4 linked regions of the Struthio camelus genome follow. The protein of the gene in region 2 interacts with the protein of the main gene of each other region in a pairwise test. Links are inferred from orthologs where the notes say so. Each region holds a gene or a part of one and is shown on either strand. Other genes may lie near its edges. The genes, in order: AEBP2, HMBOX1, FAM161A and MFAP1.

What was found.
Region 1: the proteins of HMBOX1 (region 2) and AEBP2 interact in binary tests that used the Homo sapiens proteins (3 or more experiments, as listed by UniProt). The two-hybrid records come from large-scale screens. The link is inferred for Struthio camelus from reciprocal best matches to the Homo sapiens genes HMBOX1 and AEBP2.
Region 3: the proteins of HMBOX1 (region 2) and FAM161A interact in binary tests that used the Homo sapiens proteins (3 or more experiments, as listed by UniProt). The two-hybrid records come from large-scale screens. The link is inferred for Struthio camelus from reciprocal best matches to the Homo sapiens genes HMBOX1 and FAM161A.
Region 4: the proteins of HMBOX1 (region 2) and MFAP1 interact in binary tests that used the Homo sapiens proteins (3 or more experiments, as listed by UniProt). The two-hybrid records come from large-scale screens. The link is inferred for Struthio camelus from reciprocal best matches to the Homo sapiens genes HMBOX1 and MFAP1.

The regions. Positions count from the first base shown.
Region 1 is NC_090942.1:73,482,293-73,490,117, reverse strand, and holds the start of AEBP2 (zinc finger protein AEBP2), read right to left. Parts: upstream 3,012-7,825; coding exon 2,314-3,011; intron 1-2,313. UniProt on the Homo sapiens protein: Acts as an accessory subunit for the core Polycomb repressive complex 2 (PRC2), which mediates histone H3K27 (H3K27me3) trimethylation on chromatin leading to transcriptional repression of the affected target gene.
Region 2 is NC_090944.1:9,668,827-9,676,752, forward strand, and holds the start of HMBOX1 (homeobox-containing protein 1), read left to right. Parts: upstream 1-4,917; 5' UTR 4,918-5,264; intron 5,265-5,417; exon of another isoform or gene 5,418-5,492; intron 5,493-6,558; exon of another isoform or gene 6,559-6,948; intron 6,949-7,926. Other genes in the region: INTS9 (integrator complex subunit 9), read right to left, coding at 196-323, 4,567-4,575. UniProt on the Homo sapiens protein: Binds directly to 5'-TTAGGG-3' repeats in telomeric DNA. Associates with the telomerase complex at sites of active telomere processing and positively regulates telomere elongation.
Region 3 is NC_090944.1:131,148,234-131,156,107, reverse strand, and holds the start of FAM161A (protein FAM161A), read right to left. Parts: upstream 3,010-7,874; 5' UTR 2,804-3,009; coding exon 2,732-2,803; intron 1,333-2,731; coding exon 1,088-1,332; intron 627-1,087; coding exon 1-626. Other genes in the region: CCT4 (T-complex protein 1 subunit delta), read right to left, coding at 5,772-5,786, 6,113-6,226, 7,374-7,608, 7,765-7,874. UniProt on the Homo sapiens protein: Involved in ciliogenesis.
Region 4 is NC_090953.1:487,431-495,251, forward strand, and holds the start of MFAP1 (microfibrillar-associated protein 1), read right to left. Parts: upstream 3,012-7,821; 5' UTR 2,889-3,011; coding exon 2,810-2,888; intron 2,710-2,809; coding exon 2,490-2,709; intron 1,890-2,489; coding exon 1,760-1,889; intron 1,385-1,759; coding exon 1,197-1,384; intron 634-1,196; coding exon 525-633; intron 451-524; coding exon 290-450; intron 6-289; coding exon 1-5. UniProt on the Homo sapiens protein: Involved in pre-mRNA splicing as a component of the spliceosome.

The sequences.
Region 1 (7,825 bases), on a different chromosome or scaffold from region 2:
TGCTTATCTGGCTGACCCTTTAAAAGGCACATGCTATTTTCTGACTCACTGCCAGGGAACAGCAGTCATTTGGATCAGTAGGTCAAGCAAGTAACTTGTTGGGCTACATGTAGCAAAAATAATAAGGCAGTCTACCAGGCTGCAGCAAGGAGTGCACCTAAAGTGAAATTTTCCATCATTAGGAATAACAAATGGCATTCTTAGTAGTATTGCTCTTTACCTGTCCAATTCAACTAACAGGCTTGGAAATTACAGTGAAGTGTCTGTGAACTACAGTGCCTTCCTGGCATCCCCATGTTTTCCGCCTAGAAGCTCAAGACAAAACTTTACGAAGATTGAAAAGAAGGTACAGTCCTTATTTAAACAGCTGAATACAAAGGATTCACTCCTGCAAGTGAATCTGTACCAATGGTATTGCAAAGGAGCAACAAAGAGGTATACACATAGATATAACTATGTCACTACAGCAAGAGAAACACAAAAACAATGATAGAGAAAGAAAGTAGGACACTGGCTTTAGAGTGCACAAGCAAGACATAACATCAACTCTACCACCAGAAAACCCCGTGCAACTCATTTCTGTTATTTTCTAAACTCATAATTGGTCTGGACTCGGGACAGATTAGGATCAGATTTAGATTAGGCGAAAACTAAGAAAAGATTATCTTAAAACTCCACTACGTATCTGCTGTTTTTTCCAGAAGCCTACTCCCGTATTTATGTGATTTCATGTAAAATCTCAGCTTTCACACACACAAAAAAAGCTTTCTAATCTTGCACAGTATGGAGAAAAGAAAACGTGGCCCCAGTGAACCCTAAAGTCTCAAAAGTCAGATGGAAACCAAAGAACTGAATTTTTTTCCTCTGTAGTCTGAAGACTTTCAGGCCAATTACATGGTTTTGGGGAACTGACTCACAGGGGTTCTCTTTAGTTGTTTTTAATAACTGAGGCTAGATCTACTGACGCCACACTTTTGAAATACGGGTACTTGTATAGGTATACGGAATTCAGTCTAATGTATTCGGAAAATACGTATCTGGACCAAGACACACAATTCTTCACACTTTAACAATGAACTTGTCTTAAGAAAAAGTTTGTTTGATTTAAATCAGATTGTAGTTTTTACTTAACTGTAATTCTAACAGGGAAATGAGATACTTTTTTTAGGCCAAACTGAGATGAAAAATAGCACACTAGCTTCTTAAACTGTTTGAAAGGACAAACCAGAAAAGAGACCTACACTATTTTAAGTATCCTATCTTCAGCTTAAGCAACCTATCTTCAGCTTGTCAACTAAACCATAGCACATACATCTGAAAAAGCCACTAGATAAACCACAGTCTTTAGAAGTACTTGACATAATAGACTAGACAATACCTGAAAGGTAGAATTCAATCACGTGCAAGAATTTGTGCCTTTCCACAAGAATTAAGCTAAAGTCTCAGTACAAGAAAGATGATCCAAACCCCAAATAATCTTCACATTCATTGCTACAGAGATAACTTTTACATTTGATTATTACGCCACGCTTAATACTGTGCAGGCTTATTTCTTGTGCGTGCTTAATACTGAAAGACTAGCTACCTTTTTATTTTGGAAAAGCTATTTTTTCCCCCTTGCGCTTGAAAAGATTGACATTCTGTTCGTTCGTAGCACGGAGAGGCTCACACGGGCGCAGGCAGAACAAGCCCACAAAACACTTCCTACCCTTAAGCTTTAGGGCATCCCGCCTGCCCTTCAATGCAGGACACAACCTCAGCATCTTCCAAAGAGAAAACACCAGCTTCCAAGGGAAATAACAGCCAACCACTACCGCCTAAGCACACGTTACTCCGTGCTGCTCGTAACCCAGCGGGGCACTTGCGGCGGTTATCAGCGAGGCACCTACCCAAGTGAGTGACTTCTGCAGCAGCTCGGCGGCTCCCTCGCAAGCGCGCACGCCCCGGGTCGGCGGGGCAGAAGCGGCAGAAGCCCCCGAGGGCCCCCGCAGGCCGGCAGGGCCCGCACAGCCGCGGCGAGGCGAGGCGAGGCAGGGCGAGGCGGGGCGGCGGGCCGGCTCTGCCCCGCCGCCAAGCCCCGCACGCCGGGCGGCACAAGTTGGCCTGGGAAACCTGTGGCTGCCGGCCGCCGCCGCCGCCGCCCCGCGGGCGGCGTGACAGCCCCGGCCCCGCCGCCGCCGAGATGGCGCCCGGGGGCCCCCGCGGGGGAGCCCGGGGCCGCGCGGCGGCGGGACATGGCGCCCGCGGCAGGGCCGCGGCCACCGGCGGAGCCCAGCGCCGGCCCTGGCCCGGGACGCGGAGGGAGGCACTGACCTGTCCTCCGAGTCCATGCGGCTCAGCGGCTCCCCGTCCGACGACATCTCCAGGCTGCCCCGCCGGCCCCCCGACGTGGCGCTGCAGCTGCTGCTGCCGCTGCTGCCGCCGCCGCCGCCGCCTCCGCCGCCGGTGCCGGTGCCGTAGCCCTCGTCGCCGCCGCTGCTGGACACGCTGCTGGAGCTGCTCCCGCCGCCGCCGCCGCCGCGGCCCAGCCCGTCCTCCTGGCTGCCCCGGGGGCCCTTGGGCTCCTCCTTGGCGTCGGCCTCGCTGCTGCCGCCGGGGCTCAGCGAGCGGGTCTCGTCGCTGCAGCAGCCGCTGCTCGTGCTGCTGCTGCTGCTGCCCACCAGGCTGCTCTCCTCCTCCTCGCCGCCCTCCTCCTCCTCCTCCTCCTCCTCCTCTTCCTCCTCCTCCTCTTCCTCCTCGTCGTCCTCGTCCTCTCCGTCCCCGGCCTGGCTGGCGCTCTCCGGGCTCGGCTCCGACATGCTCTCCGCCTCGCCGTTCAACAGCAGCAGCGACTCTGCCTCCGCTGCCGCCGAGGACGACGGCGACGACGAGGCTCCAGCCCCGGCGGCGGCAGCGGCCGCCGCCTCCTCCTCCTCGGCCGCGGCGGCGGCCGCCGCCGCCGCCGCCGCCTCGCCGGGCAGCAGCAGCAGCAGCCCCTCCGGCTCCGCCATGTCGCTCAGAGCGGCCGCCATGGCGCCTGCGAGTCGCTGCGAGCGCGCGCGCGCGCGCGCACGGGTGGGGTGGGGGGGGAGAGGGGGCGGGGGCGTGCGTGTGTCCCGGGCGCGCGCGCGCGCCCGCCCGCCCGCCCGCTCGCTTGCTCGCGCTTCCCCCCGCCCTGGCCCTCCTCACCCGCACAATCGCGCGGCGGCGCGAGCCGCAGAGAGGAGGGGCGCCGGGCCGCCCGCCGCTGCCGTCGCCGCACGCGCTACGGCGCGCGTCCGGGGACAAAAACCTCGGAAGGGCGGAGCAGTGGCTCCTCGCGTCGCGTTTCCAGAGGGGGCGAGGGAGGCGCGCGGGAGGGGCGTTAACGGCCGAGCCCGCCGCGGGCGGAGGGGCGGGGCTTCTGCCTCGCTCCCAACGGCTCGCAGCGGGCGCGTCATCGCCCGGCAGCGGCAGCAGCAGCAGCCTTCCCCTCAGAAAAATCACCGCGTCGCGGGGGTGGGCAGAGCCGCTACTTAGTCATAGGCAGGGGGAAGTCCCGCAGGACGAGCCCGGGAAGGGAGAACAAGTCCCTCCCGGCCGCGAGTTGCGCCAGCAGTCTCGTCGCCTGCCCTCACTGCCCTCACTCGCACAAATAACCCCAGCGGCGCGGCAGCCCCGGCTTCACTGCCGCAGCAGGCTCCTCATCTTTTTAAAAAGCTGAAGTTGGGTAGCCCGGTAGTTGTGGGTAGCCGGCTGGCCGGCCAGGGCAAAGAGAGCGGGAACCACAGCTGAGAAAAAAACTTAGCGAAATTTCTATCCATGAAAGAAAGGGGAAGCGGAGGAAGCTGTAGGGACGCCAGGCCTGACTGGACTAATAGTTACTAAAGGGAGTCGGAGGAGGGGACAATATGGAGCTTATGAGAAAGGGAAAAACAAGGCTCCTCAGCAAAGAGAGCTACAGGGTACAGGTCAAGATGTGACATTACTGAGTGGGAATTGTCAAAAGACAAGCTCAACTGAGGCACAAAGGAGACAGAAAAAGGTTTTCAGCAGTACGGAATGGGATGAAGAAGTAGGCCAGCTATGCAGTGAGGGGGGAGCAAAGAGAATAAACTCGGTATGGCCTGAAACCTCCATCTTCAGTAAGGAGCGTGTTGGCTGTGGGGGCATAAGCAGTATGACTGACTAATGGCAAATGCAAAATGGAAATGATTGCATTTAAGTGGAAGTAAAACTAAACAGTTTAGTGTACTAGAACTGGGGAAACTGGATAATCTCTTTTTGATAAACCAAGTTTCATTTTGGAGGGACAGAGATTAGTAAACTTGTTAAGTTTGGCTCTGTGCCATCTAGTAACAATATGTGGTGCATGTATTTAAGAAGGAAAGGTGAATGATAAATGAAAAGATGATTGTCAATCACATACAAAGACTTCAGAACAACTGAGAAAGGCATTTTAATGTAAACATAGAATGGGATAAAGTTTACTAACGTTAGATCATGTCAGACTAACCTGACTGGCTATTTGACAAGCGTTTTAGTTATGTAGACATTAAGAAATACTTGATAAAATTGTCATGTGGAAATGATTAGAAAAGGTTGATAGGAGGGGGATTTGCAGTAAAACAGGAAGGTGGGTAGAAAAGGAAAAAAAAACAGATGAAATTAGGCAGTTTGACAAATTTTTAGAGGGATGAGGGGAATAATTGAATGCATAACATACCATTCCATATGAGTTTTAGATGTCACATGCACATCTTGTCAGTCTTTACCCAACTCTTACAGAGCTTGCCACATTTAAAAAATTATGAAGTGGTGGTAGTTTAGTTTAAAAGCAATCAACAAAACACAGAACCACAACTCAATCCAGAAACAATATTGTGCAAACTGCATAATAGGAAGAACATCACCAGTTCAAGTTACAGCAAGCGTATCCGGCATATCCACAGAGATCCTACATTCAAGCAAAAGTTAACCGCACTGGGTTAAACTCTGGAAAGGGTGCTCCTAAGACCTACATTAGCATAACTGGAGTTGTTTTCTAGCCCATCAACAAAGTAGTTGTTAGCAGCAACGTCAGCAATCTCTAGCGCAGCAACATCAAAATAGAATGTCACGGTAGTGAAAGAGCAACACGGTACCGGAGCGAAGGGACAGGGCATGGAATTAATTTTAAAGTCAAACTAACAACATCTTTAATGCGCGGATGAGTATAAGCAATTTTTTTAAAAAACAACAACAGTAAAAAAGTCATGATAGTTTTTCAGATTTCTAGAAACCAGACTCAGCCTGGAATGGAACTAGTCTAGAAAATGGAACTGGTAAGAATGCTTAAAATGAGCAGGTAGACAAGACTGAAGATGAGGACTGCTTGATCCCAATTAATCTATTTAATAGATGTATCATTGCTCTACTAAGTCCATTAGAATAGTCACCAAACTCTCAGCTTCTGCATCATCTCTGCTCGCCCCCGTTTCCCCACCTGAAACAATTTGCTCTATACCTCCCCCTTCAGTTACAAAGGTGTGGCACTCCTGCATGGCTGTTACTGTCACTAGTCCCATCACACAGTAAGAGTGAGGTTTAGAAGAAAAAGAGAACCCTTTTGACTCAGTCAAAAGGCAGCAGTAACCAGAACAATTCCTATGCCTCTTTACCCATTAATTCCTTTCCTTTCTAGAGTTGTCTAAAGGTCAGTAGCATTGAGGGACAGAATCAGAGAGGTACCAGGTCATGAGAAACCAAAAACGTGTAATGGAGCTACATAAAAGGCACCTTTCACAACCTATGAATATGAGCAAAAAAGGAAAGAAAAAAAAAAAAAGTTATTTATCTGAAAGAACTCCATGTACCTTAGTGTACATTGTCCAAATACATTCCACAATATCAAATTTCTATACTCTTTTTTTTTATTATCCGTCTGGGTTTCTTGAGGTCATGAGTGCCCCCAAGGTTCCTCGTATTTGTTATTTACCAAAAGCATACTGGCTGATTCAGACCTCTCACTTTTCACTCTCCTAAGTGGAGCAGTAGAGATGCCAGTTCATTAGGTAGTCATTTGTTTATTCAAAGAGGGCCAGTGAAATGAACCTCAGGGCACAAATGAATAGGAAGGACAGTATGGAGTCTGCCTAATGGAAAGCAGTTAGCATTTAAGCAAGAGATCAGTACCAAAGGGGTTAGTACTGCAGCAGTCATCAAAGGAATACTCTTTGATGATCTCTTGGTGTGCTGTTCTGTTTTCAGGACCACCAAATCCTCAATCCAGACTTGGTGCTTGAGCACTGCAATAAAGTCAATCAAATACAAGCAGCAGCAATGGTGACTTGAGTCTCTTGTTATTGAAGTTTTTCCTGTGACAAATTTTCCAGCTTAGCAAAGGCAATCTCCTTTTTCTCTATGGTTTTTGACTTTTTGAAACCCTGGCTCCAGTCTTGAAAGAAGAGCTCTGTGTGAGAACAGGTGAGTCTAGAACTTGCAAAAGCATCAAAATTAGTTATATTTAAATGGTCTAATGAAAGCTCAAAGCAAGGGACATGCTGTTAGGAAATCCTTTAGGAAAAAAAGAATTTACACATCCACTTACTTACACTGTAAGGGTGGATGTTACTCTCTCATTCACACAAAGGGCTGCCGGTATGCTCGGTCTAACTTGGTATGATCCTATTACAACAGAGACAATACTTTAAAGCTGAAGGACTTATGATGAGACATGCTAATCTCTGGTACTCCAAAGATATTCTCAACAAGGTACAAAAGTAAACAAAAGTCAGTAGATAAGCTAGCTAAAGCTTGTTCGTGGTAAAGCGTCCAAGCAGAATCCTTCTCCACTAGCAGAAGAACAAACAACAAGCTTAACAAATCTCTGAGAGAGATTTATGTTGCATTGCAGACACAGCAGAGCAGGGAGAAGAAATTAAGAGCATACCTGTTATTGTCTTACCTCAGGAACACAAAGGTGCAGGTGCATTCACTTTGACAGCAGAGTCAATGATGAGCACGCGCACTCCGAAAAAGTAATTTCTTTTCTTGAGTCGCAGCAACTTTGCAGGTTTTTGGTTTTTTTTAAAGGACACTTCAGTGAGATCATCAGAAGTAGCTCAGCTTTGGTACTTTTTATGCAATGTTTTGAGTTTTTTTCCTAATGTTGATCAGCATCAAGATACTCTTATAAGGTATAGTATGCAAACAAAATATTTCAAAACAGAGAGAAAGGTCTATAAAAAGAGAGGGAAAAAAATACCATAGGCATAAGATACAGGAAAAATGACAGCCTGTCTTGTACTTGTTAGAATGCATGGGGGAAATTCTGTAAAACAAGACACTTGGTCACTGACCTCTTTTCTCCTCCTCCTGCCTCCGCATGTATGTCTTAAACACTGCAGGAAATTCCTGCTGCCTGAACCTCATGACTCACCTTGCTCACAATAATCTGCCTGCTCAGCAGCCTCTGGACACTGCACCCTTCCCTTTGTGCCCCACCCTGCCCTGTCCAAATCCAAGGTCTCGAGGAAGAGGCTGCAACCTCCCGTTCCTTCAGCTAAGCATCCAGCACTCATTTCTCACCCTTCTGTTCAGACCAAACTGAAACTACCTCATACCTCATCCTTCAATTGCATTTCTAACCCCACCCTCTCCTCCAGCAGCCAGTTAATCCTCCCTTTAAACTCCCTGCACTCTTTTTCTTTTTAAAGTTGCCTTTAATCTTTCCCCATATTTGTTTAGAAAGCAGGGCAATGACCATAAGAAACATCACGTCTCAGTTAGGTTGGTTCGAGGAAGCCTGCTGGGAATGCATGTTTGCCTAGAGTCCCTCTTCTATAGCCCCATTAGGCTGTGACCCAAAGCTGAGGCTGTAGACTAG
Region 2 (7,926 bases):
CTTCCGTCTACTGAGCCAAAGGATGTTATTCTGATAAAGAGAATTTTTAAGTGAACAAAGTCTATTTATGATATCAGATGATGCTGTTCATTTGTACTCATCCGCTCCCTCCTCCCAATACACCATTTCACACAAAGCACTCCAGCTGCAACCCAAGAAGACACAGACTAAGTGCTTACAGGCCGCAGAACATACCTCTGAACCAGTGGCAATGGGAGGAAATTGAGGGTAGAGGTCATATCCAACCCGCAATCCAACATGATGGTGGTAGATTTGAACTTGAGTACGTTGCATGGTAAGGTTGGATGTCCTGACAGGCAGTACTGACAGAAGAATATGAGAATGAGTTAATCATGATCTTTATCAACATAGCAACCATCCATAAAATAGTCCTTTTTTCTAATTTTTAAACAAGAGGTAGTTTCATGAGCGCCAAAATGAAATCTAGTTTTCCACAAATTTGTGTCTCATAGCTGTGTATGTGTTCATTGAAGTTTTCCCCATGCCAGGGTATTACGAGGCAGGTTTTCTTCAGTCCAGGTTTTCTGATCCTTAACAAAGGGTGAGAGAACGACATAGCCCCTCTTTCTATTTTAGGACACGTATAGAGTCTCCCTCTTTAACACCACCTATTTTCACAAAATTCCTTTGAAACTAATATCTTTAAAACTCAGTCCTACTGGCAAAACTTGCCTGAAATTGGCTAGAGAATTTAAAAAATACTTGAGGAGGAAAGAGAAGGGAGAGAACTCCTACAGCATCACAAGATTTACTTCCTTAAGAAACCAGGCTAAACAAACAAACAAGGAGCAGCCCACACCTTCTGTGGCTCCTTGAGCCAGCTCAGCAGAGGAAACTGTGCATGTGCGCAGCAGCAGCAGCAGCTCTGGGGCATGCTCTCACCTGCTTTTTGTCTTGCTAAACGCAAACAGGAAACACTAGGGAACAGACAACCCTACCTGAATGGAATGGTTTGTGTACTGAAAAAACCCAAACGCTTTCCAAGCTTAATGAGCCAGTAAGCAGGTTATGTACAGGGGCACTTCAGCATCATCCAGATGCAGTCACCTCTTGTATGGAGAATGGCAAATATTTAACAATGAACAGGAGCAGCTAAAGCTTTGAATAAGAAGAGAAGTGAATAAAAATGCCGCCTTTAACAAGTGGGAGTAAAGAAGTAAATGTTCAAAAAGAGTGTGGCCACCTTAGCATGAGGGTTTCTCTTTGGCAAGAGATTCAATGCATCTTCAGGGATTGCAAGAACAGGAGATTTTGCATCTCGAATACAACACTTTGCATCTTAACGTTTGGGCATCTGGCAGCATAGCAACTCTCGGATGGTCAAACTTAGCTCTTTAACCCCAATCAACCACACTGGAATTTAAAATATTAATTGGTTGTCCATGTACTGCTTTGACTATAAAAACAGTTTTCGTCATTTTTCTAAGTCATTTATACCTTATGCTTACTTCCTACGCTCCACTCTGCTAAGTGGAAAGGAGGTAGATTAATCATTTTATTCCCTACCTCTGCTCATCACACATTAACAAAGAATTGCAACTGTTTGGATTAACAACTCCCAAGGAGACTGTTTACTTACATTCCTCAAAAAGCAGTTTTAAGTTATATTTAAATGCTAAAAAGCTATTAAACCCCAAATAGTACATTCAAAATAATCACAAAGACTTTTGTTTTAAAATTCATAAAGCCTTAATTATTAACAAGCAACATTATGTTTGCCTGCTGTTAGCATAATTTAAGAAAACCTTAAGAAACCAAGCTGGTGAGTAAGGGATATAGGTATGGAATATGTATACCATATGAATGTATACCATATGGTATACATATATGCATATGCATATATGTATTCCTTATATATATGTAAGGAATTCAGCTGCTTCTTTTGTGAATGCAAGATACACATGCGAAATTATGTTTTCACCACACCAGAACTTTGACAGCTGAAGGTACAACTGAAGTAAATAGAAAGAAATGGGGGGGGGATCTTAACTATTTTTATAGCTTTTAAACTATCGCTAATTAAAAAAGCAATAAAATATCACCACTTTTATCAGCAAAGCACTCTCTTGCTCTTTTTTAAATCATGAATAGGATCATGACCCTGACATTTGCGAGCTAACTGGAAAATCTTCCTCTTTTCTTCCTTAACAGCATCTACAATAATCTATATTTGCTGTCAAGCTGTGGTAAGTGGATTCCTGAGAGTCAGTGGATTCTTTCTTTCAATTCATGTAAAGCGACCAAAAAACCATAAAGTAATTCATATATGCTATACAGCTATTTGCACATGTGGTATTTCGGGGCCTGTACAATTAGAATTTTTGTTTAAGAATTCAGGAATTCTAATGCCTGCATTATACATATCTCTATATGTACTATAAATGTGACGGACTATTTCCCACACAGATTATAGCTGTTACCGCTTAAAATAGATCCAGAGATCTAATATTCCTGATCTGACTAAAAGACAAGTCCTTTTTGCACTAATATTTGCTTTCTTCTATCTTTCTTCCATTATGACTGAAGGTTAGCGCAGCTAACACAACAGGTACTTATACTCGTAATTAAAAAATAGCAGTGGAAAAAGCTCACAAAATATGTACAAAATACTATAAATACGCCCATCTCCGCTCACAACTTTCTCAGCAGGCTTTGTAAATTGGATGAAAATCTGATGAAAATCTGATGAAAATCTTGAGTGGGGCGCAAAGAGACCAAGACGAGGGGTTAATTCCAAATACTAAAACCCTCATAGAGAAAGGTTCTCAGCAGACAGCTGGTTCAAGCTGAGCACTTGCCAGCTCTGAGTGTCTCTGGTGATCTCATATATGGCAATGTGACAGAGAAAAGACATGATGTCTCAAACTAGCCACTCCAAAATACTGAAGATTTCGCAGGTTAAAGCCAGTGCTTTGAATTACAACTGAAGCCAACATAGACTGCAATGCTTTTCCAATGTTATCACACGCTAGCCTAAAGTCTAGGGGGAATTTTGCAACTGGATTTGTCCGAATCAAAGCACGTTAGAATTTGTGGGAGTCTCTCATTTGCACTGGATTCCGAATCAGGTCCAGAGACTTGTTTCCTCTATCCTGTTCTTCCAAATTCAGACTAAATATATGACAAAAGAGGATGAAATACCATCCCAACTCCTACCTCCACAACCCCAAGTTTCAGGCACAACTCCAGACAAACACAAGATGAAGAACCTGGTCTTATGCTCCTGACCTCCAAGTTTGTAAGCAGGTCTAAAACTGTTACAATATAGATTTCAGATAGCTTGCATTTTTCCCACTTCTTCCCTCTCTCTGCCCTCGTACAAGAATAGGATGGGTTTTGCTTCTCAGTGGCTGGATAGAACAAAGAATTCTGCATTTCCACTATGGTTTTCATTTGGAGATTTCTCAGCTTGCTTTTTGTTGTGCCTTATATCGATCTTTACAGTCATGTAGAGAACTGCTTAGCTTTGCACAGTTTGTCCCACTGGTCGTACTCATGCACACACAGAGACTTAATCACATACGTAAGATTATGCAGGATCAAGCTCTTCAGCCACCTGTCTACTGAACTAATTTTACACAGTTAGCCACAGCCAGTGATCTACCAGAAGTCACAAAAGAAGCCCAGAATCCAGGTCCACTTCTATGAAGCTTTCTCAAGACAAACTGCAGAGTTTCAAAACGGAGAGACAATCGGTCTCTCCTTAAAACAGGTTTAATAGTAGTGTAACTTTAAGTTAAAGAAATCAAATGTAATGCTCAGAAATTTTGAAAGCTGTTTCATTTTTCATTTCCAAAGAACTGCAGCATATTGAGCGGACAATAAATCAGTGGCTGAATCCAAATACCTTGGAAAACTTAAATAGTTGAAAAAGGAGATTTATACAGTGGGTATCAATAACACGGAGTGATGCCTTTTCTAATAACCTTCCCTTTAAAACATTATACTATTGAAAGCAAAATATCTGTCATAATCATAGCGCGCCCTTGACAAAGCTATTCCAGGATGATTTTCTTCTGAGTACTTATTTGCGTGACTATCATAATAACTATAAAACATGGATATGACCTCTGCTATGAACCATGGAGATTTATTAATATTTCTAGAGTAATTTAGCGGAAGCCACACGTGCAACGGGCTAGCTCCTGTCTTGCTCCAAGCCGAGGTTCACGTTCAAGGAGGATATGAAGAAACAGCTCTTCCCTCCAAATCCCGCTACCGCTTAACCTGATCTAAAACCCAAAACGCAGAGAGCCCCTAAAACCACCGGCGGGGTGAGCGGCCGGGGGTGGCGGAGGAAGGAGAGGGAGAGCCGGTTGCTCAGGCCTAGGCCCCTTAGCACGCGCAGGTGCCTCCCCGGCGGCTCCCCGACGACCGTTTAACGGTCACTGCCGGGCCGGCACCGGCCGGATCGCGGAGCGGGGGGCTGAGGCCGCCCTCCCCCCACAACGCCACGATCTCCCGCATGGCGGCCCCCCCCTCCCACCCTTACCTACGTCCCCCAAGCAGGCCCCCCCCGCAGACCCCCTAACTACACGGACTCACCAGCTTCATGCTTTACCCGGTTCTATTTACTGGGACAATCCTGCCCCCCCCCCCACCCCGCTTCCTGCCTAGCCCCCCCTCCACCCCACCCCGCCCCAGAGCATCATGGGACTTGAAGTCCGGCCGCCCGCCCAGGATGAAGTCATGGCCCCCCTCTTCCACCTTGCCCTCCTCTCCCGAGGCATGCCGGGAGTGGTAGTCCGCTCCGCGCTTCGCCCCGCGCTCCGCCGGCGCGCCGTGCCCCCGAGGCACGCTGGGAGTCGTAGTCCTGGGACCGCGGCTCTCCCCGTCACCCTGGGGAGGGGGGGACTACAAGTCCCAGGGTCTCACAGCGGCAGCAGGTGGGAGCTTGGATGTTGATATCAACATGGCGCTTGTCAGACAGACAAAGACAGTCAGTCTGGTGTGATTGAGCCAAAAAAAAAAAAAAAAAGAGAGAGAGAGAGCAAGCGAGAGGGAAAGATAGAAGGAGAGAGAGAGAGAGACGGGGTGAGGGGTGCTCTTTCCCTCGGGGGGGGGGTTGGGGAGGGGGGGGGATCTGGCAGCCGAGGGATTTTCCCCCCCCGCATTGTTCTCGTCCCTGTGCACCCCCGCGAAGCTCCCCCTCAGGCCGGGGCGGGGGAGGCAGGCAGGGAGGGGACCCCCCCCCCCTCTCCCGCTGTTCAATGGTGAGGTGGCGCAGGAGCCCGGATCCAGAGGTGAGTGTTACTTGTGGGGAGGAGGAAAGTGTGGGGCCGGGGAGAAGAAGAGGGAGGGAGAGAGTAGGGGCGGCGAGGGGAGGGGGCGGGTGGGTGGGTGGGCTGGAAGGAGGGAGGGGAGGGGAGGGAGGGCGCAGGGTCCCCCCCACCCCCGCCTCAGCCAGCGCCGAGGCTGCCTGTGGGGCAGTCGCGCCGTGCGGGCGAGCGGCTTCCCTGGCAGCGCAGGAGGTGCGTGGACGAGGGGGCAGCCCGGGGGGGGCCGGGTGGGGCAGGCCGGGCCAAGGCAGGCCAGGCCGGGCCAGGCCCCTCAGCCCGCGCCGCTTGTCGCCGGCAGAGTTTTGTGCCGCGGAGCTGGGTGGCTCCTCGTCTCCTTGAAGCCGCGGAGCGGCGGAGGAAGGTGCCCCTTGGAGCCTGGGGTGGGGGGGCTGCTGAGGGAGGGCAGGGCAGCCTCTCGCTTCTCCTCGGAAGGTTTTTTAAAACGGGAGAGGAGCCCTTCCATTTTCCTCCCTGGGATTTTTATTTCATTCCATTTATTTATTTATTTATTTACCCCCCCCCCCACACACACACACACCACCACCCTCCTTGGGTGGGAAGGGAAGAACTCGCGGTGGCAGAGTCCCCTCGGGCTGGGTGGGTGTGTTTATTTTTGTGGGGTTTTATTTTTTTTTTGGGGGGGGGGGGGAATGTGAGTGTGTGTTTTGTTTTGTTTGTTTGCTGCCGGAGTTGGAGCCCGGGGTTGGGCTGCTGCCGCCTCGTCGCCTGTGAGAGGGGGCGGCGAGGGCCCCCCCCAACCCTCCTCCTCCTCCCCCCCCCCTCCTCCGGGCGGGGTGTAGGGGGGGGTGCTGGCCCGGCTCGGCAGCACTTTGGCCGAGCAGTTACCTCGGGGTTGAGGGGGGAGGCCGGAGGGGGAAGGTGTGCGAGGCGGATCGCCCCCCCCCCCCAGCGGAGGGGTTATTTTGGGGGGGGGGGCGGTTAAGCCCTGGGGGTGAGAAGGGGAGAGGGGGCCCCCGCCGGCGACGGGCAGATCTGTTGCTGCTCCCGGCGCTTTGCCGGGGTTGGGGGGGGGGGGACAAGGCGTGAACCCGGAGGGTGTCTTGTTGCTGGAGAGTTTTAACGTGGGTGGGGGAGGAGGAGGACCCGGAGGGAAGTCGTTCCCCAAATGTGCTTGGAGAGCTTGGGTGGGGTGTCGTACGCGTGGTGGTTTTGTACTTCTGGAGATTTTGGGGCGGGGGAGGCGTAAACGTTCTTGCTGTCTGCGATCTTCTTCGGGAGAAGAGTGGGTTTGACCCCCAGACGGTTTGGAAGAAGCGGTGGGGAACGCTGCTGAACTGTTTCGTGCTGCTTCGGGGGGGTAAAGTGACACGAGCCACGAGTGTTTTTACGGGCGAAACCTACGCGAGGCGGACTGCGCTGAGTTCTCCAGGCTCAGTTTCGTCTGATGGGTTTTTTTTAGTTGTTTTAAAGAGTATCTCTTGGTATGTTTGCAGAGCACTTTTTTGGAAACCTTTTTTTTTTTCTTTTTGGCTTTTTTGTTCTCTGAAAAAAAAAAAAACCCTTGATCATGTGTACTGTTTTTCCTTGCCCCCTCATATATAGGGAAGAAAAAAATGCTTTTTTAGGGGGGAGGGAAAGAGGAAGAGGAAATGAAGATTGCAAGCCTGTTTGCTCTTCGTAGAGTCAGGTATATCTTAATTTGTTCTCAAGCTTAAGTAACGTTAGAGGTACGGATAAGTGGCTTTAAGTACAAAACGTGTATGAACTAAAGCTAGGAAGATTTAAACTTGGCAGGGAAGAAAGCGTTAAGCTGATGGCCAGGGCACGCGGTTGAGAACACGGTCCGAGCAGCTCTGATAGACGCTGGCTACGTGCCCCTGCTTCAAACTAATGGGGATGGAGGAGAAGGAAACTGGTGGAAAAACTACAATTTGCATGAATGAGAGCATGTAAAATATACCATACTGGAGAAATGGCCTGTGCTAGGCAGATAATTTGTGGGCTTTGCAAAACCCTGAAGTGCCCGCCTGCGTCCCATGATATGTGACTAGCTCATTTCTGCAGGGCTCATCAGGTACGGACTCTGCTTCCTTCCTGGGATGGTGCAGCTGGCATTTGATTTCCTCCATGGATGGGAGAGGAGGAGTCCTGTGCAGTTTTTTTTCCTGAGATGATTGCATTTTCTTTGGCCTTGCTGTACCCTGCCTCATTAGTAGGAACTGCATCTATATTTATTTACCATTATACCATGTCTCTTGGGATGTCGGGTGTAGTTTGGAGTAGGTATATATGGATTTATCACTCTTAACGTTTTTTTTCCTCCTGTCACGCCTGGGCCAAATCCTTCAACAGCAGAGAGCAAACTTAATTTAAGTCTACATTTTGCATCTCTCTTTTTGCCATTTCTCTTCCAAATTGTGAAGAAAACATTTCTGAGATACAGGTTGGGGAGGGAAGTAGGGGAGAAATGGGAGATGGATAGAAGAATATAAGGCTGGGATGCATTTGTTATCTGCATGTTCTAGGAGCACTGGGCTCTCTGAAGAGTGGGGTTTGATATTGCGTGTGTAAACCGTGATCCTGGGATTTGGGAATGCTGTGTCTTTTCTCTTATATGAAAATTCTTGTTTAACCCCGTGACAGCCACAACTTTTTTGTGTGGCTA
Region 3 (7,874 bases), about 120 Mb from region 2:
CAGAAAGGTCTTTTAATTGCATTTTCCTAATTTCATTCCTTTGCTTTTCTCTTTCGATGAATTTAAATGGCTTCTGAGAAGCCAAAAGCATAAGTTTGCTTCTCTCTTTCACACATTTCCTGCGTTCTTCGTTCTGTTCCGCGATTTCATGGTAGAGCGGAAGGAAGACGGATGCTGGCACTGGGTTGGCTCGGAACTTTTTCTGACACTCTGCCTCTTCCTCTAGTTGCTTCTTCAGTAAGTTATTTTCCATTTCAAGCTGTGACTTTGATTTGACATTCTGTTCTTTTTTCCTGGCTTCCCTAATAGTCATCTGGAAAGGCTTGGGCACAGTAACTTTTGGGGACCATGCCTTCTGCTTCTTCCTCATCATTCTGAATGCTGGTGAGCTTGGTAAGCTGTGTTTGGTGCGGGGGACATAGTCTTCCACAGAGAACCCGTCCCACATTTTTTCAATCTGCTGCTTAGCAAACGCTGATGATCCAGTTTCACTACCATTTTCTTCAAACACTAATTCACTTTCAGACCCATCAGATATACTTGAACCTAAAGGATCAGTTAAGTCAGACTCAGAAAAGGATCTGTGCAAATTTAGAGGCTGATATGAGCTCTTCTCCCAAGTTGACCTGTAAAAAAAATTGTTTTGAGTCGAGTCCAGCCAATATTGACACAAAGCCAGTGATTTCCACTTTCAGTGTCACGAAGATAAAATGGATAGAGTTGCTGGGGAAGAGGAGAGAGGCAAGGCAAAGGAAAAGAGAAGAACATGGGGCATTCACTCCAAATCATAGTTGTAAAGTAATTTAGATTAGGAATAAATCAGCATTTCTAAAGGAAAGGCACCATGCTTTACTAAACATGCTGCCCAGTCGCAGCTTCACACACACCCCTGTAAATCTCATAGTTCATTAGCAAGGTGAGTAAGCATTTTTAAATATTAAAGCTAGCTTTTTATGATTATCTACTTATCGGAAATGGTAACTTTCCAGCTTCAGAAAAAAATTGCCATACTTACTGATGTCTGCAAAGCACTTTAGAACCTTCAGACAGAAGGCACCACCAAACTGAAGATTATTATTAAACTTACCTATAACATATATTAGGAGCAGCATCTTTTTTGTCCAAAGATTGTGCTCCTTTTAGGTGTAGTTTATTCCGATACATACTTTCTAATTTCGCCATGGTCTCCAGGTGGGCGTTCTTCAGTTCTTCTAGCTTCAAGTAATATTCTTGATTTGAATTGCACATTTTGGAAAAGTCCATCCACTTGTCACAGTTCCCATTTACAGAGGTCTGCTCTTTGTCAGTATTTGAATCCAAATCAAAACCATCCTGGAAGAGATTTTTGTCAAGTTTTGTGAGTGTTAGAAGAAAGGGGACCGAGGTTCATAATATCACTTTATCTGATTAAGTCCAATGAATGGTACAGTAACATCAGAGATACATATGTACAGATTTGAATGCAACATTATATGGAATAGCCTTATTGTATAATAATTTATATACTAAGGGTTCTATCTAAAGCATGTTAAATTCTTAACAGTCTATCCCTGTAATCAGGATATTATATCAGGAAATAAGATCAAAAGGAGTTATTAAAAGTATAACTTGTTTAGCACTGTAATTTTTCCTTGGTGAATTTTTTCCCATGGTGAAACATGCAGCTTAAAAAACCCACATTTTTTAAACAAACTTCTCTGCCTCTCATTTTCATAAGTATTCTCATAATAAGTCATGTGGTATCTTTTGCATAAATGTTTCTATTATTATTTCACAGTGAATTGTGGAAATGGGAAGTATTTTGCATAACTTTCACTTTAAATAGTGTTTCCGCCAGCTTGCACTTTGGGGCAGGTAAGCACGTTCTTTAAACATAAAGCTTGAACAAGTCAGAGAAGTAAGTATTATTAAAAAAGGCTTCTTTTAAGTCATTTTTTGGGCACTATGTTTTAAGAAGTTACAGGGTTAATTTCTTCATCTAAACAATTAGGATAATACTGTTCCACACAGGTATTTTAATAGGCTTTTACATGCCAACCAAAAAAGCCTTGTTTATGTTTTGTCATGTTTTCGGTCCAAAAATCTCAAACTTGTTTTCTCCGTAACGCAGCGATCAAACATAAAGCGAATGCCATGATCAAATAAATGAATTTAAAAAGCTGTTAAAGCATGCCCGATGAAAGGCACCAGCTGAATCTTCCTGAAGCTGTTTCTTTTGACACTGTGTATGCCTCTCTCATTTCAGTTCTTCATCCACGGAAAGACCCCGTCTTTTCCCTCAAGGCAGGCACCCCGCTTCTTCAATCCGCTCTTGGATCCCTTCGGCCCGACGAGCTCATTAAGAGCTCTGCGCCGGCCCCGGCAGCGCAGCACGGCCATCTGTTCCGCGTGCTAAATCAGGCAGATCTCGTCCCCTGCGTCTGCTCTTCCGCCACGTCACTGGTAAGGTCTTCAAAAACGGGAGCTTCCCAGGCTATTTTTACCCCGAGAGCAGCAGCAGCAACGTCGCAGCCAGGCCCCGGGGCGGCGGCGCTCCCCGCTGCCGGCGCAGCTCGGGCTCCGCAGCGGCTCCCACAGCTCGGCCGCCGCCTCCTTCGGCAGCCCCTGCCCGCCGCCCGCTTACAGAGAAAACCCGTCCCACCCGCCTGCCCCCCCCCGCAACAGCAGCCTTGCTGCTGCCCAGCGCCGCCGCCGCCCGCGGCCTCCCGCTCCCGGCGCGGCCCCGCGGTACCTGCTGGGGGGCGGCGGGGGCCCGCGGGCGCGGGGGGCGGAGGCCGGAGGCGGCCCGGGGCGCCGCCGCCATGGCGCCGGCGGCCGGCCGGTTGCGTGCGGGGGGAGAGCGCGGTGGCTCTGAACGCAGACTGCTGCTCTCCGCCCGCCAGCGCCGTTTCTGGCTCTTGACGGGGAGCCGGCAGCGGAGGCTGCTGGGGCCCGGCGGGCTCCTGCCTGTTGGGCGGGAGCCGCGGCGAGGGGATGGGGAGGGGGGGCCCGCCGCCCCGCCGCGGCACGGCCGGCTCCTGCCGCCCTCGCTGCGTCTGCGCCTTCGGCGCTGCAGGGCGGGGTCGGGCCGCGGCCGCCGAGCCGCTCGGCCTGCGCGGCGCCGTGGCCGAGGGCGCCGCCCCGCGCACCGGCCCGGCGGCGGCGGCTCCCCCGCGCCGCTGGGCTGCCGGTGCCGCCTTCCAGCTGCGAAACGGGCATGACCGCGAGCCGTCACGTGCTAGCGAAGAGACACATCAAATACTGCATTGAAATTCGTGTCTGTTCAGTCTGAGGGCAAAAAAAAAAAAAAAAAAAAAACCCACCCAAACCCACCATTCCTACTATACAGACTCATCTCCTAGATAACTTTTTGCAGGATTTTTGCTGGAACGCTGCATTCTCTTTCCCAAACCCAGTCTCCCCCCTGCCCCCAGCTCGAATTATTAAGCACTCTGCTACTTTAAGAGCAGTTCCTACTTGAAATGAGCAAATAGTTGCAGAATAAGGGTAAACTGGGATCATCAGGAATACTCTTCCACTTCCATTAATGATGGCTGGACCTATTTATTTTAGTGAAATTACAAGTACTTTTTAATGCAAAGAAACAGATGAAATGATCACATTGTACAGGCTAGCTGTTAAATCTTGTCAAGAATTGGAAATCTGTGAGGATTGGGAAGGAAAGCTCTAATCAAGAATTAATACCTGAACTGGATAGATCAGTTTAAAAGACTGGCCTCATTGCTGGGAGTAATCCTGTGAGGTAAGGCATAATTCATATTTTTAATTAGCCAATAAATCATGCATACAGAGCTTAAAGCCTAAATCAGTTAATTTGTCTTCTTTTTAAAATATCTGAATTATTCTGAATGATATACATAGCCATAAAAGTGATGATTTCAACTAAACCTGGTCAACACATTCAGTAACAGAAACTTCCTCAAAAGCCACACATCTGATTTTGATAGCAAATAAAAATGCAATAAATTTTGGGAAGAGAAATAATCTCGTTTAAATATAAAGAAGAATCTGATCATCTCAATATAGCAACGAAGAGGATTACAGCATTAATTCAGACTTTCATCCTAAGAGTTAGAAGCAAGTTGAAATATTTTTACCCTAAGCCATAAAATGTAGTTAACATTCACTCTAAACTGAATGAATCCTGATGTAGCCAGGATTCTCCTGTTAGCCAAGGTAAAACCACTGCAGTGCAGGTCACAACCCTGCTAACAGCTCAGCCCCATGAAGTGACCCTACTCATCCTGTGTACGCAGTGCTAGCTAACGCACTGTCCAAGATGCGGCAAGACCACGAAGCTGCCTTTTCGAACAAGAGTACGTATTTCCTCCAGGTATTAATAGAATTTAGGATGTATTTGATGAATTGCTTCTTAAAATAGGGCAATTTATCATTTGACTTCCCAGCCTGTTTTGGGAAAATCAACTAACTGTTGCAGTGATCTCACACAATCTTACCATTTACTTTCACAGCTATTAACCCTTTTCTTAGAAAGAGTATAATCAGCCTTGCTGCTGGCTGTCAACCTCACTAACATTCAGGGTATGTGTGTGTGCGTGCGTGCGTGCGTGCGTGCGTGTGAGAGAGAGAAGTACCCAAGATGTTCAACAAGGCCTCAGTCCTGGGCTTTTCCCAGATAGACCTGTCAACTTGAACAGGATGATGGAAGTGACCAAAAGAACAGGAAGAGCTAAATCTTGCAGCTGTTTCAGAGAGATTCTTCAGTTCACCGAAACTGGTTTTAAATAAAACCCTATTAATAGAGTAGTAATATCAGTTATTATCCCTGCTTTTTTAAACTAGATTTAGCTTTGAGATTTACAATTCATTGTTTCTACACTTGCTACCTCCTCCAGCATTTTATAGAGCTACATGGAATTCAGAAATCATGCACGTACCATGCTTATTTAAGTCTTCAGTGCCACTGTTGCCCCCATGAGTTGTGCAAGACGACTTTCAGTCCTTCTCTAAGTACTAGCTATGAGTGTTAAGAGCCCGACAATTTTTGTCCAACAACAGATAGCCAATATTCAGAGAGGACCTGGCTAGGATTTTACCTCCTTCAATCATGCAGCCAAGTGCTAAGGAGACCATTTTGTTGTTGCTGTGGTCAATCTATGAGCAAGGCAGGTCTGAAAATGAGTTTTTATTTCCGTTTGTCCACTTGCAGATATGGAGACTAATGTTTTCTCAGATGGATGAAGTACAAAGAAAAGAGCGCACTGAAAGACTTCTTTATCATAGGGTAGTACCAGGGGCTAACATATACTGCAGGGGAAAAACTATAGTGTGGAATTTTGTATTCTTTGGTGGTAACAATTCAAAGGGGTTTCTTCAGTCTATCTCTAGTAAAATTTAAGGAAGAAACACCCTTCCCTTACAAGTAACTTTTAGAGATGCACCTCGAGGTTATTATGGTAGTGAAGAGTTAATTCAAGGGCCTTTTCAGAATCTAGATAAAAGCTAATTATTTGCTGTTAAACTTTTCAGAACTAAAGAGCATCACGTAGCACAGAAAAGCAAATGTAACACTGAGAAATATGTTCTTATTCCTGGCCCTTTTAAGGGAAAAATTCAGGTATGGTACTATACTGTGACTGATAAAAAGCATTTGCTTTTTGAAACCAAAGATTTTATTAAATTAACGTGATAAAAGTACGTAAGTGTTTGCGGACTTTAAGACGATTCACATAGGCGTTTTGGGTGAGGAAACCATATTCCAAACTACAGGGAAGGTACTCCAGGGCAAAGTCCCATTTCCTTTATTTGTCTTACCGAGTGTTCACCTGCAAAGAATTAAAAACAAACAAACAAAAACAAAAACCATTACTTCTAAATCTCTATTTAAATGACTAGAAAATGTAGGATTTTTTAACTTCTTACTTTAAGGTACTGTATTTATATTATTAAAAGCAATCTGACTTAGTTTTAATTACCGTTCTACAATTTAATTATCATAAGCAGTTGCTAGAAGACTGAAGGGTCAAGTAGCATTTAAACTGAGAATACAGAATGAAACATTTTGAAATACAGCAAGTTCGATAACAGTAATTTTTCTAGTGCTTGTGTAAACAGCAGGACATAAGCAGAATGTGCTGCAAACATTACTCACCACATCGTCAATCTTAAGAATACTGCGCACAGTTTCTGTTGCGAGAGTCAGTGCACTCACGGACACTAGCAGTGGCTGGACTACCAACTCCTCCAAGATGTTGGAGATCCCACCCTGGAAGAACGAGTAGCTTGCTTAGTGAACGTGAGATAACTTGTTAAAGCTAACTGTAACCTTTTAACAGAACCTTGGAAAGGACGTTCAACTTCAATCATCAAATAGCTATTCTGTTCTCTGGAACAGGAATATTACGGCATAGGTCTTCTCCCTCTGAGTATTTGACGAATCCACTCAAAATTAGCCAAGAGAACGACAAACATAGCGGTGCTAGCTTAAACACAGTGGAAAATATACAAGCAAGTAGCTAGCCTGCCGCGCTGCTAACAACGCGTTCAAGATGAACGCAAAACGAACAAAAAAACCCTGCTTTATCTAACTTTATTCTTTAGGGAATGCATTCTAAACTCATTTAAGAATAAATTACTTAAGGAGCTGTTATCAGGTTCTGACAGCTGTAAAGATTTAGAAGTCTAAATTTCAAAAGTAATCCTTCTTACTCTATTCACCCTATGCCACTGCACCTATTTAAACGCGGGTATTTTTAGGCTGCAATTCCAGCACTATTTGTTCTTACACCTGTGGACAAACTCCATGTTTTACAATGAATATATTTCACAAAACTGTTCTTCGTGAGTGAAGACAATCAGTTATCCCCCTCATACACCACAACTAAGTTTCTCAAAGACTCTTTTGGGACAGCCAAAACTGTTTCTTTCCACGTGCCAGATAAATCCCTGGAAGGGTGATGTTAATGTCACAATCTGCAAGTGCTCAACTGGAGAGTAGTACTTGTTTCTTTCTACAGGGGAAAGGGTCTCTAAAGCTGGTTATTTTTTCAAGGGCTAATCTCATCATATAAGCACTGTAGATAATACTGACAAAATATTCCACCTAGATCTGTTTTCTAGAAGTTGACTGCAGGAGACTTCTGTTCTAATAATGGTTCTGAAGCAACAAACGACAAGTGTCTTGTTCTAGGTGCATGGCATTTAAGTATCTGCTATTATCAATACCCAAGATGGTTCTTAACGCCTGAAAGAGCAAGCTATGATCTATCCCAACACTATAATCTTAGGGAGAATACAGCCATGAGACAAATTTGGCATTTCCTTATTTCAGCCCTAATGCTTAGCATTTTCCCTTTAAGATACCCAATGTATTCTCTAAAAAACTCTGCTGTGCATGTATGATTCCTTATTACCTTTCTGACATTAATGCCAGCTGTTTTCTCTCCTTGAGCATGTCTGTTTCTCAGCTCTGTAACCGTTGAAATAGGATTGAGGCCTGCATTTTCAGCCAGTGTAGATGGTATGACTTCCAGTGCGTCCCCATACGCACGGACACAGTACGAGTCCATACCGCTCAAAGTGCGAGCATACTCATTCAAGCGCAGTGCTAACTCTATCTCCGGTGCTCCACCTCCTGCAATTAAAGCTCTGAGAACAGAGAAGAAAGGAAGGAAGGAGGGAGGGGGGGGAGGGTGGGGGGAAAAAGAAAAAAAAAAAAATCAAATCTCATTTTAAGTGTATAAATGGTTAGCTTTCTGTATTATTAGTATGCTAAGTCACTATTTGACAAAACTAAGATGTTACCTTTTCTTAACTAAGCATCTTATGACACACAGGGCATCATGAATTGAACGCTCAGCTTCTTCTAGAACAAGTTTGTTGGATCCACGTACCACAATCGTTACAGTTTTTCC
Region 4 (7,821 bases), on a different chromosome or scaffold from region 2:
CCATGCTGGCAGGACAAAAACCCCTCAGAATCAGCACCTCTCACGGCAATGTTTCGGGACAATTACTGTTGCAGAAAGCCTTTCTAAGGGATTGCATTTACTGACTCCACAGCGGAGCAAGGCCACCCTGAGGGTGGAGAGGAAATGTTTTGGATGCTTTGTCTAGGTAAGAGTGTGCTGTCAAAAGCAGGCCTGAGGAAGAGAGGCCTCAACCGTCAGTTGGCCTGCAGGGTGCAGGGCCTGGGCCTGCCGACGCTCAGCCACAGATCTAAGCAGAGACAATACTTACGCTTCTCGTTCTTCACGATCCCGCTTGATACGCTTCAGCTCACGTACTTTCCAGGCCTCGTACTCCTCCTCGTCGTTCTCATCATCTGTATCAAGTGCATCCAGTGCTGCCAGCGAACGCTTGTTCTCCTCCAGTTCCTTCTTTGCTTCCTCTTCTACAATCTGCAGCAAGGGTGAAAGTAAGCCTGCTGCAGTGCCCACCCTCCCTGTGCCACCCCCAGCCAGCCCCGCGGTACCTTGAGCGTGTACTTGCGCCTCTCCTCTGCTAGTCTCTTTGCCTCCTGCTCCAGCTCCTTCTGCTTCAAGGCTTCTGCTTCTCGCTCCTGAACCGTGATCCGGTCCTTCCTATAGACAGAGACCACAAAAGCCTTCAACCTTTCAGCGTGAGCCCATGCAGCCGAACCCCTCACAGACTTATCCTGCTCCCGTGCTGCAGTGACCCTTAGCCCTTACTCTCCAAGTAAGAGCCAAGTTCAAGGGCTCTCCCCTTCCTGCTGTTGCCCAAGCCAGGGCAGCCCTGCTAATTCCCCCTACAGCTACAGGCATGCGTGGAGAGAAGAGAGCGCGAGGCACCCGCCGTGGTGCACTACCCTCTGCCAGCTTCCCAGCTCTTTGTACAGCGCTTGCCCAAATGCCCTAGCACAACCCTGCTGCGATGAAACCCACCGGCTGGTCCCACGCAGTGACCTGACACAGCTGCAAGAGCTGCCCGTGGCCGCTCAGCGAACACCCGTTACTCCTCAGCTGTGCCCTGCCAGGCTGGTATTTGTCACCTCCCCTTAGGAGGCAGGCAGTGCTACCGCCCCGCTGTACGAAGCGGAGATCACAGCGGTGACCGTCTGCTTGGCGCCCAGCCGCTGCCTCCTGCATCCTCACACAGGACCGACCTGCCTGACCGTGTCACCTACTTGCGGATGAAGACAGGTTTGAGACGTGGCTCCATTTCATCCTCACTGTCTGTGTACTCCTCATACTCGGACTCTGACTCAGACTCTTCTCCAGATCTACCCTCATCTTCCAACTCCATCACCTCCATTTCCTCGGTCTTCCTCTCCTGCGCTCGCTGGCGCATCATCCCACGGCGACGCTCAATCTCCTAACGGAGGTGCATCAAACACAGAGGAGTCAGTGGAGCAGCCCTGCTACCGCTCCCTTCCCCACAGACTTTCTGCCTCAGGCAGGAAGCCAGTTCCTTTCAGATTCTTTGTGCCAGAAGTGACATGTCTGGAACCTCTTTGTTACAAAAAGATGTTCCCGTCCCTCAGGATGGAAGGTGGCCTCACCCAGCGTCCCACCTCGCAGCAAGAGACAGGTAACCCAGAGTTAAGTCATGGCCAGCTATGGAGTGACCTGCAAGTCCTGAAACTCCCTAGTTTCACCAGATAGCCTTTTCCACACGTACATGGGTTATTCCAGCCTGTGTCATTCAGGGGCTTTCTTAAGCCAAGTCTGTTCAGGTCTGCAAGCATACCTCATCATCGATCTCTTCCTCTTCCTCTTCGCTGGTGTCCTCCCGTTCGAGCCGCCAAGCTTCTCCCTCCACCTCTGAATCGCTGTCTCCAACCACTTCAGGCTCCACAATTTTACGGTGTCTGGCCAGCCTGTAACAGACCCTAGTTGAACTACAGCACTTTGAGCGTAAAGAGACCGCAGAAAGATGGCTATTTGTGAATTGTTCTTAATGAGGCCATAGTAAAAACTGGAACGACTGAGTCTGGGAGTGAAACAGCATGTCCTTTCCTAAAAGGCAGGAGCAGCCAGGCAGTGGCTTTTCCTCCCCATTTGTGTTTTTGGTGGGAAGCCTCCCCTTTACTAGTGCTGAAGGCTGAAGTACCTCTATGGGGGAAGGTAAACAGTGCTCAGATACTTTCTGCCCTGAATACGATTCAGATGAAACCATATCTTCCCGCTAGCCTAGAGAGGTGTCGCTGTGTTAATTTTTATTTCAGAACCCGCTGTTCCCCTGGGCCAGCCAAACCGCTCCTGAACGCGGGGCTGCCGTGACCCTTGGCTTTCAGGGGTGCTCACGGCACAGCGGCGGCCCGCGGCACGATCCAGCACCCGCGCCAACAGCGCTGGAGACCGCTCCCGCAGGGCTGGGAGAGCGCGGCCGTGCTTGGGTGACGGTCAGCGGCAGAGCGGGGCCGGAGGCAGAGGCTCTGGGGAAGGCCGGGTCTCCTCCGGGGGCAGGCGCTGCTCACCGCTCCTCCACGTCCTCGCTGATGCGGTTCTGGAGGCGCCGCAGCCGCGGGTCGTTGGCGAGTTCCTCCTCCTGCTCCTCGGGCTCCACCTCCTGCTCCTTCGCCTTCTTGATGAACTGGAACTCCTCGTCCTCCTCCTCCGAGGACTCCATGGGCGCGTAGTCGGGCCGCTTCCCCGACACGTACCGCTTCACCTTCACCTTCTCCATGGAGAGCTCGCCTGCGGGCGGGGCGGCCGTCACCGGGGCCCGGCCGGCCGCCACCGGGCCCGGGCTTCCCCCCCCCGCCGCCGCCGCCGGCCCCCCCGGTGCCCCGCTCACCCTTCTCGTTGCGGACGGGCACGGCGCCCGCCGTGGACTGGATCGGCGGCTGCTTCATGAGGGCGCTGGGGACCGACATGGTGGCGGCGGGTCGGGACGGGACGGGACGGCGGCAGCAGCGGCGGCGGCTCTGGCGGCGGCGGGCACCCTCCTCCCCCGGAACCGGAACTGCGGCCGCCCCCGCTTCCGGCGGAACCGCCGCCTCCCGCCCCCGCGAGCCGTTGGCCGGAAGTGACGCCACTGGCGGCGGTCACTTCCGGCGCGCCGGGGCGGGGCGGGGGAGCGGCCGGCGGGGGCGGCTGCCGGTGCCGCCTGGGGCCGGGCCGGGGGTGCTGCGGGCCGCGGCGCTGGGCCGCGCCGCCCGGGGGAGCGCCCCCCGCGGGCCGCTGCCCCCCGCCGCCGCCGGCACCCAGGCGACGGGCGGCGTCGCGCCTCGGCGGGCGGGGCGGGGGCGTTCGGCTGCGCCACCTGCTGCGTGTGTTTTCCCCGTGGTCCGCCGGGCGGCGGGGGGAGGCGCTGGCGGCGCAGCGCGGGTGCGGAGTTGCCCCGAAGGGCCCTCTCGAGCGCTGGGGAACGGGGGACGCGTGAGCAGGCCTTTCCTGCTGGCCGGAGCTTCCCTCGGGCCTTGGGGCTCTGGCCCTCCGCTGCTCGGGCTGCGATTTTCTTGGGGCATCTGGTCGCCTCTTCCCTAATCCACGTCCTGGTGCTCAGGGCCTTTGGCTCTATCTAGAGTCTTGGTCTCCGCCTGCTGCCAGCCTTTTGGGTTTCGAATTATTTGCCCGAGGTAGTGTCGCTCTAGATAAAGCACACCATCATGGGGTGAGAGATGACTGAGGCACAGATGCTCACGGCCCCCTTCTTCCAATTTAGTGACTGAACTCTGAATGGAAAAGATGTTCAGCCCGTGATGTAAGTTCCTGCTCCTTCTCCATTTGTGCAGCTAAAGTGGAGATGATGAGCAGCAAAAGCAGAGCCAGCAGCTGCTGTACAGCTGTATGGATATTGGATGTCAGCGGCTCCACGGTGCCACCGTCCCTCTAACTCCTGCAGGGTCTTGCTGAGGCTGTGGGACGCATCCTGTGCTTGGTGGGGCTGCAGAGCTCCTCCTAGCACGGCCAGGGGAACCTGTTGCTCTTTGGGTGGATGGTAGGGTCCGACTGCAGAAGCTGCTGTGGGTTCAGTTCGTGCTGTGCCTGTTGCCAGCCACGCTGGGTCTTAGTTCGTGCTGTGCCTGTTGCCAGCCACGCTGGGTCTTGGGGTTGATGTCTGACCTGAGACAAAGCCTGGAGCTGTGAAGGTTTTTCACTGCTGTGTTGATCAGAGTCTTGTCCCGGGCCCTCCTGCTCTGTAAACTAGCAGCAAACCAAGCCAAGCAGGAGCTTCGCTGCTCGGGTTCGTGTCTTCCCAGGCTGCCAGGACGCCTTCACAGCTCCCTACGCAGCAGCGCTTCTCGCTGCAGCACCGTGAGCACCTGGAGGCTGACTTACCCTGGAGGAGCGGGACTCTCCTGCTGTTCTGTGGGGGGAGATGCTTCTCCCACTGCCACCACTGCAGAACCTCCTGGGGCTTTCCCAGTGCAAGTGACGGGAGGTTTGTGGCATGTGTGTGGCAGGAAGGGCCTGGGGGCGTGGCTGTTTCATAGCAGGGGAGAAAGATTTTCTGAATGTGGCAGGGTGCTGCCCACGTAAGCACGCATTCACCACGGTCATTGCCTCCGAGGAGGTGCTAGAGTTCACAGAGGAAAACGGCTGTTCGGGAACTGATCAGCTTGCAAGAGCTGCCCTGCTTTTCTGTGGCACGGAAAACAAGATTTCTGAAGTAGGGCAAAACTATGTCACAAACCACCAAGCCAACGTCTGCAATTTTGTGCTGCCTTGAAAGAAAGGAAGAGGTTTTTATCTTCCAGGAAACCTAGCTGCAGGACTTGAGCCAGTCTGCGACACATCTCGTAACAGGAATTTGGGAAGTGGGGAGGGATGAGTGCTGTGTTAGCCGTGCGCGTGGCAGGTGGTCGCCCTGCCCAGCCCCGAGCAGGGGCCCTCGTGGGCACGTTGCGGAGGCCACGGGGTGTGATGGGCATTGCTAGAGGTGGATGCCCAGGAAATCCAAAAGCAAGTGTGTTTTCCCAGATGGAGGTTCAGCGCTGGAGCATGCTCCCAAAGGAAAGGCAGCAAACTCTTCCTTTTGGTGTCCTGGGCTGCAGGCTGGGAGGTTTCCTCGTGGGAGGATGTGATTTAGCCAGTGCAACTTACTGTTCTGAGGGAGCGGGGTAGTCCGGGGTGTGGAAGGAAGCGGCAGAAAGTGGTTCTCAGCAGCAGCACTGCCCCTGGGTCCGGGCTCTGCTCGTCGGGGGCCGCGGGGCGTCCCAGGGCTGCTGCAGAGGTCTCCAGGCTGACGCTGCGGGGGATTCTGTCTTGGGGGAGCCTCTCGCCTTGTCCTCGGCCCCTCTGCGAGAGGCGGGGCAGGACCAGCTGGGTAAAGCGGCTCCTGCCAGCGTGGCTAAGGCCCTGGCTGCAGGCCGAGAGCGCGAGGAGGCCCCTGGGCCTGGGGCAGCGCCGCCAGAGCCAGCCCATCTCGCAGCGCTGGCTGCCTGTGGCCAGGGCATCCCGGGCGCAGCCCGTGGCGTGGCGCTGCGTGAAGGTGCTTACTGCAGCGCTCTTCGGTAGCTTTGCGTCTCAGACAATCCCTGTTTCTGCTGGCGAGACCCAGGCAGACCTTGCTGCCTTCGCAGGAGCCTCTGTGCTTACAGGAGCTGGGGGATTTGGCCAGCCTGGCTGCAGAGCTGCGAGAGGAGGAGGGATGGAGCGCTCGGGCAGGGCCCCAGTGCTGTGGGTCTCCCTCGGTGCCCTGCCAGCTTGCGGTTTGCCCTCGCAGACAAGGCATTAGTGGCTTTATAATCCTACAGCAACTGATGCCCAGGAATAAGCAAGAGCTCTCGGTGTTTCTGGCATTTACGTCCTGACGGCAATTGGAGCTCCAGGCCCAGCTCCCTGCTCTGCGTTTGATCATCTGATGAGATATTAATCTTGTGTGGTTATCACAGTGTGTTCCCACCTAATGAATCCAGTGTCACCATGGCAAGGAGTGAGCTTCAACATGTGACTCAGTAGGTGAAACAATTAGACCTAACTGTTAAAGGAGAGCTTGGGAATTGCACACAAAGCACATAATGTGCCATTCAGGTGGAGTTAAAGACCTCAGCAAACAGGGACGGGCTCTCCCTGGCTGGCTTCGGTTCTGGGGGACGGCAGAAGCCTGAAGCAACGGCCGAAAGCAGCCCGGAGCCCGCAGCGTGCCTCCTCTGCCCCGCGTGCCCTTGAGAGCCGCAGCCGAGCTGCAGAAACCGAGTGCTGGAGTCGCCTGAGCTGGTGCAGGGGGGCTGAGGGAGCCTGCTGCGGTGCGGCCTGGCCCTGCCCTGGCCAGGGAGAGCCAGCCCGCGCCGGGCCGGGAGCGGCGGTGTCCTGTCGCTGCTCCTCCCTAGCTGATCCCCTGCGGACAGGGCAGGCTGGCAAGAGCCTGTGCCTCCGGGCAGCGGCCCCAGCCGCCTTCCTCCGCAGACCAGGGACCGATGCCCCTCAGCCCCGGCCCCGGGCGCCAGCGGCGACGTGTCGGCCCCGAGCCTTCAGCCAGCCTGGCGGTCCGCACGGGGCCGGGCTCCGGCGGGGGCGGCGGCGCGGCGCGAGCCTGAGCTGCCCCTTCCCTGCGCTCGCGGAGCCGGGGTGCCGTGGGGCGGCGTGCGAGCTCGCTGCGCCCCGGCACCCGACACGGGCAGCTCCGTTCCCTGCTGCGTTGTCAACTTGCTGGCTAAAACCTCTGCCCGTCAGGCTTTGGACTAAATTTCTTTGTTGAGATCTATGAGCGACCCCCCATGCCTCACTGCAGCCTAAGGAGAAAAAGGGGGTCCTGCCCACGGGCTGGCACGGGTGTTTCCTGCGCGCGCGCACCTGTGTTCCTGTTTGCACTGCTGTTTGTGCTGAGACCCCCGACTGCGGCAGGGACCTTGGGGTGCTCAGGCCAGACAGGGGTGTCCCTTGCCGTGAACAGCGATAAGCTGTACACAGGGCATGAGGTGGCAGGGTGTAAAGCAGCAAAGCTGAAGAGGGGCGGTAGCACGGCGGGCTGCGGATTTGATACCTCGGCGGCCTTATGGCTGTTGACGGCAAAGTCAGAAGGCAGATAAAGTTACAGCCCCCTTCTGAGCCGCCACTGTTTGTGTCTGCAAACTGTACCGCAGGGCAAGGTCAGCGTGTTTGGGGTGGATCTCGAGAATCCCATGTGTGTGACCACAATAAAATGTTATGTCTAGGAGCGTGACTATGAATAGCGCCTCGTGAGCCATCGGGACCTTGCAGACGCAGCTCCAGCCCGGGGACTGCAGCCGCTGCAGCTCCGCACCCTCCTCCCGGCGCGCCAAGGCCGTCTCAGGAACCTGCTGGTAGCGTCCGGCAGTGAAGTGACGTGAGGTGAAGGGGTTGGAGAGATTCCAGAGGAAAGTGGGATCTGCACCCCGAGGTTTGGGAAAGGGAGCAGAACTGTGCAGGAAGGGGGGGCTGGGGAAACGTGTCCGCAGCAACGCGGAGGGCTGCGGACTCAGCCCCCCCCCTGCCGTGGGAGGGTTGCATGGGAGCAGCAGGCAGTGTGGCCACTGCGCTCTAAGTAAATATTTAGTTATTGATTTGGTCCCTCTTGATGTCCTCTCTGTGATGTTATTGCTGTTTGTTTGGTTTTCTCCTCTGTGAGGGCCTCTGTCCTTCCTCCGCTGCCTTTCCTTACGGGAACCCCTAGAGCGCTTCCCTGCTTTGCCGTCTCCGCTCGCCCTGTCGCTGCTAGGCGCAGCTCAGCTGCGGCCCCGTCAAACTCCCCGGGTCACCCCCATGCAGGTGCCTGTGGACGAGGGCGCTTCCCCGTCACTGCTCAGCCTCTCGGCAGCTCGGGCAGACTGGCAGTCGCCTTGCTGCTGAAGCTTGTGCAATCTCTGCAACCAGGACAAAATTTGACCTGATTTTTACATG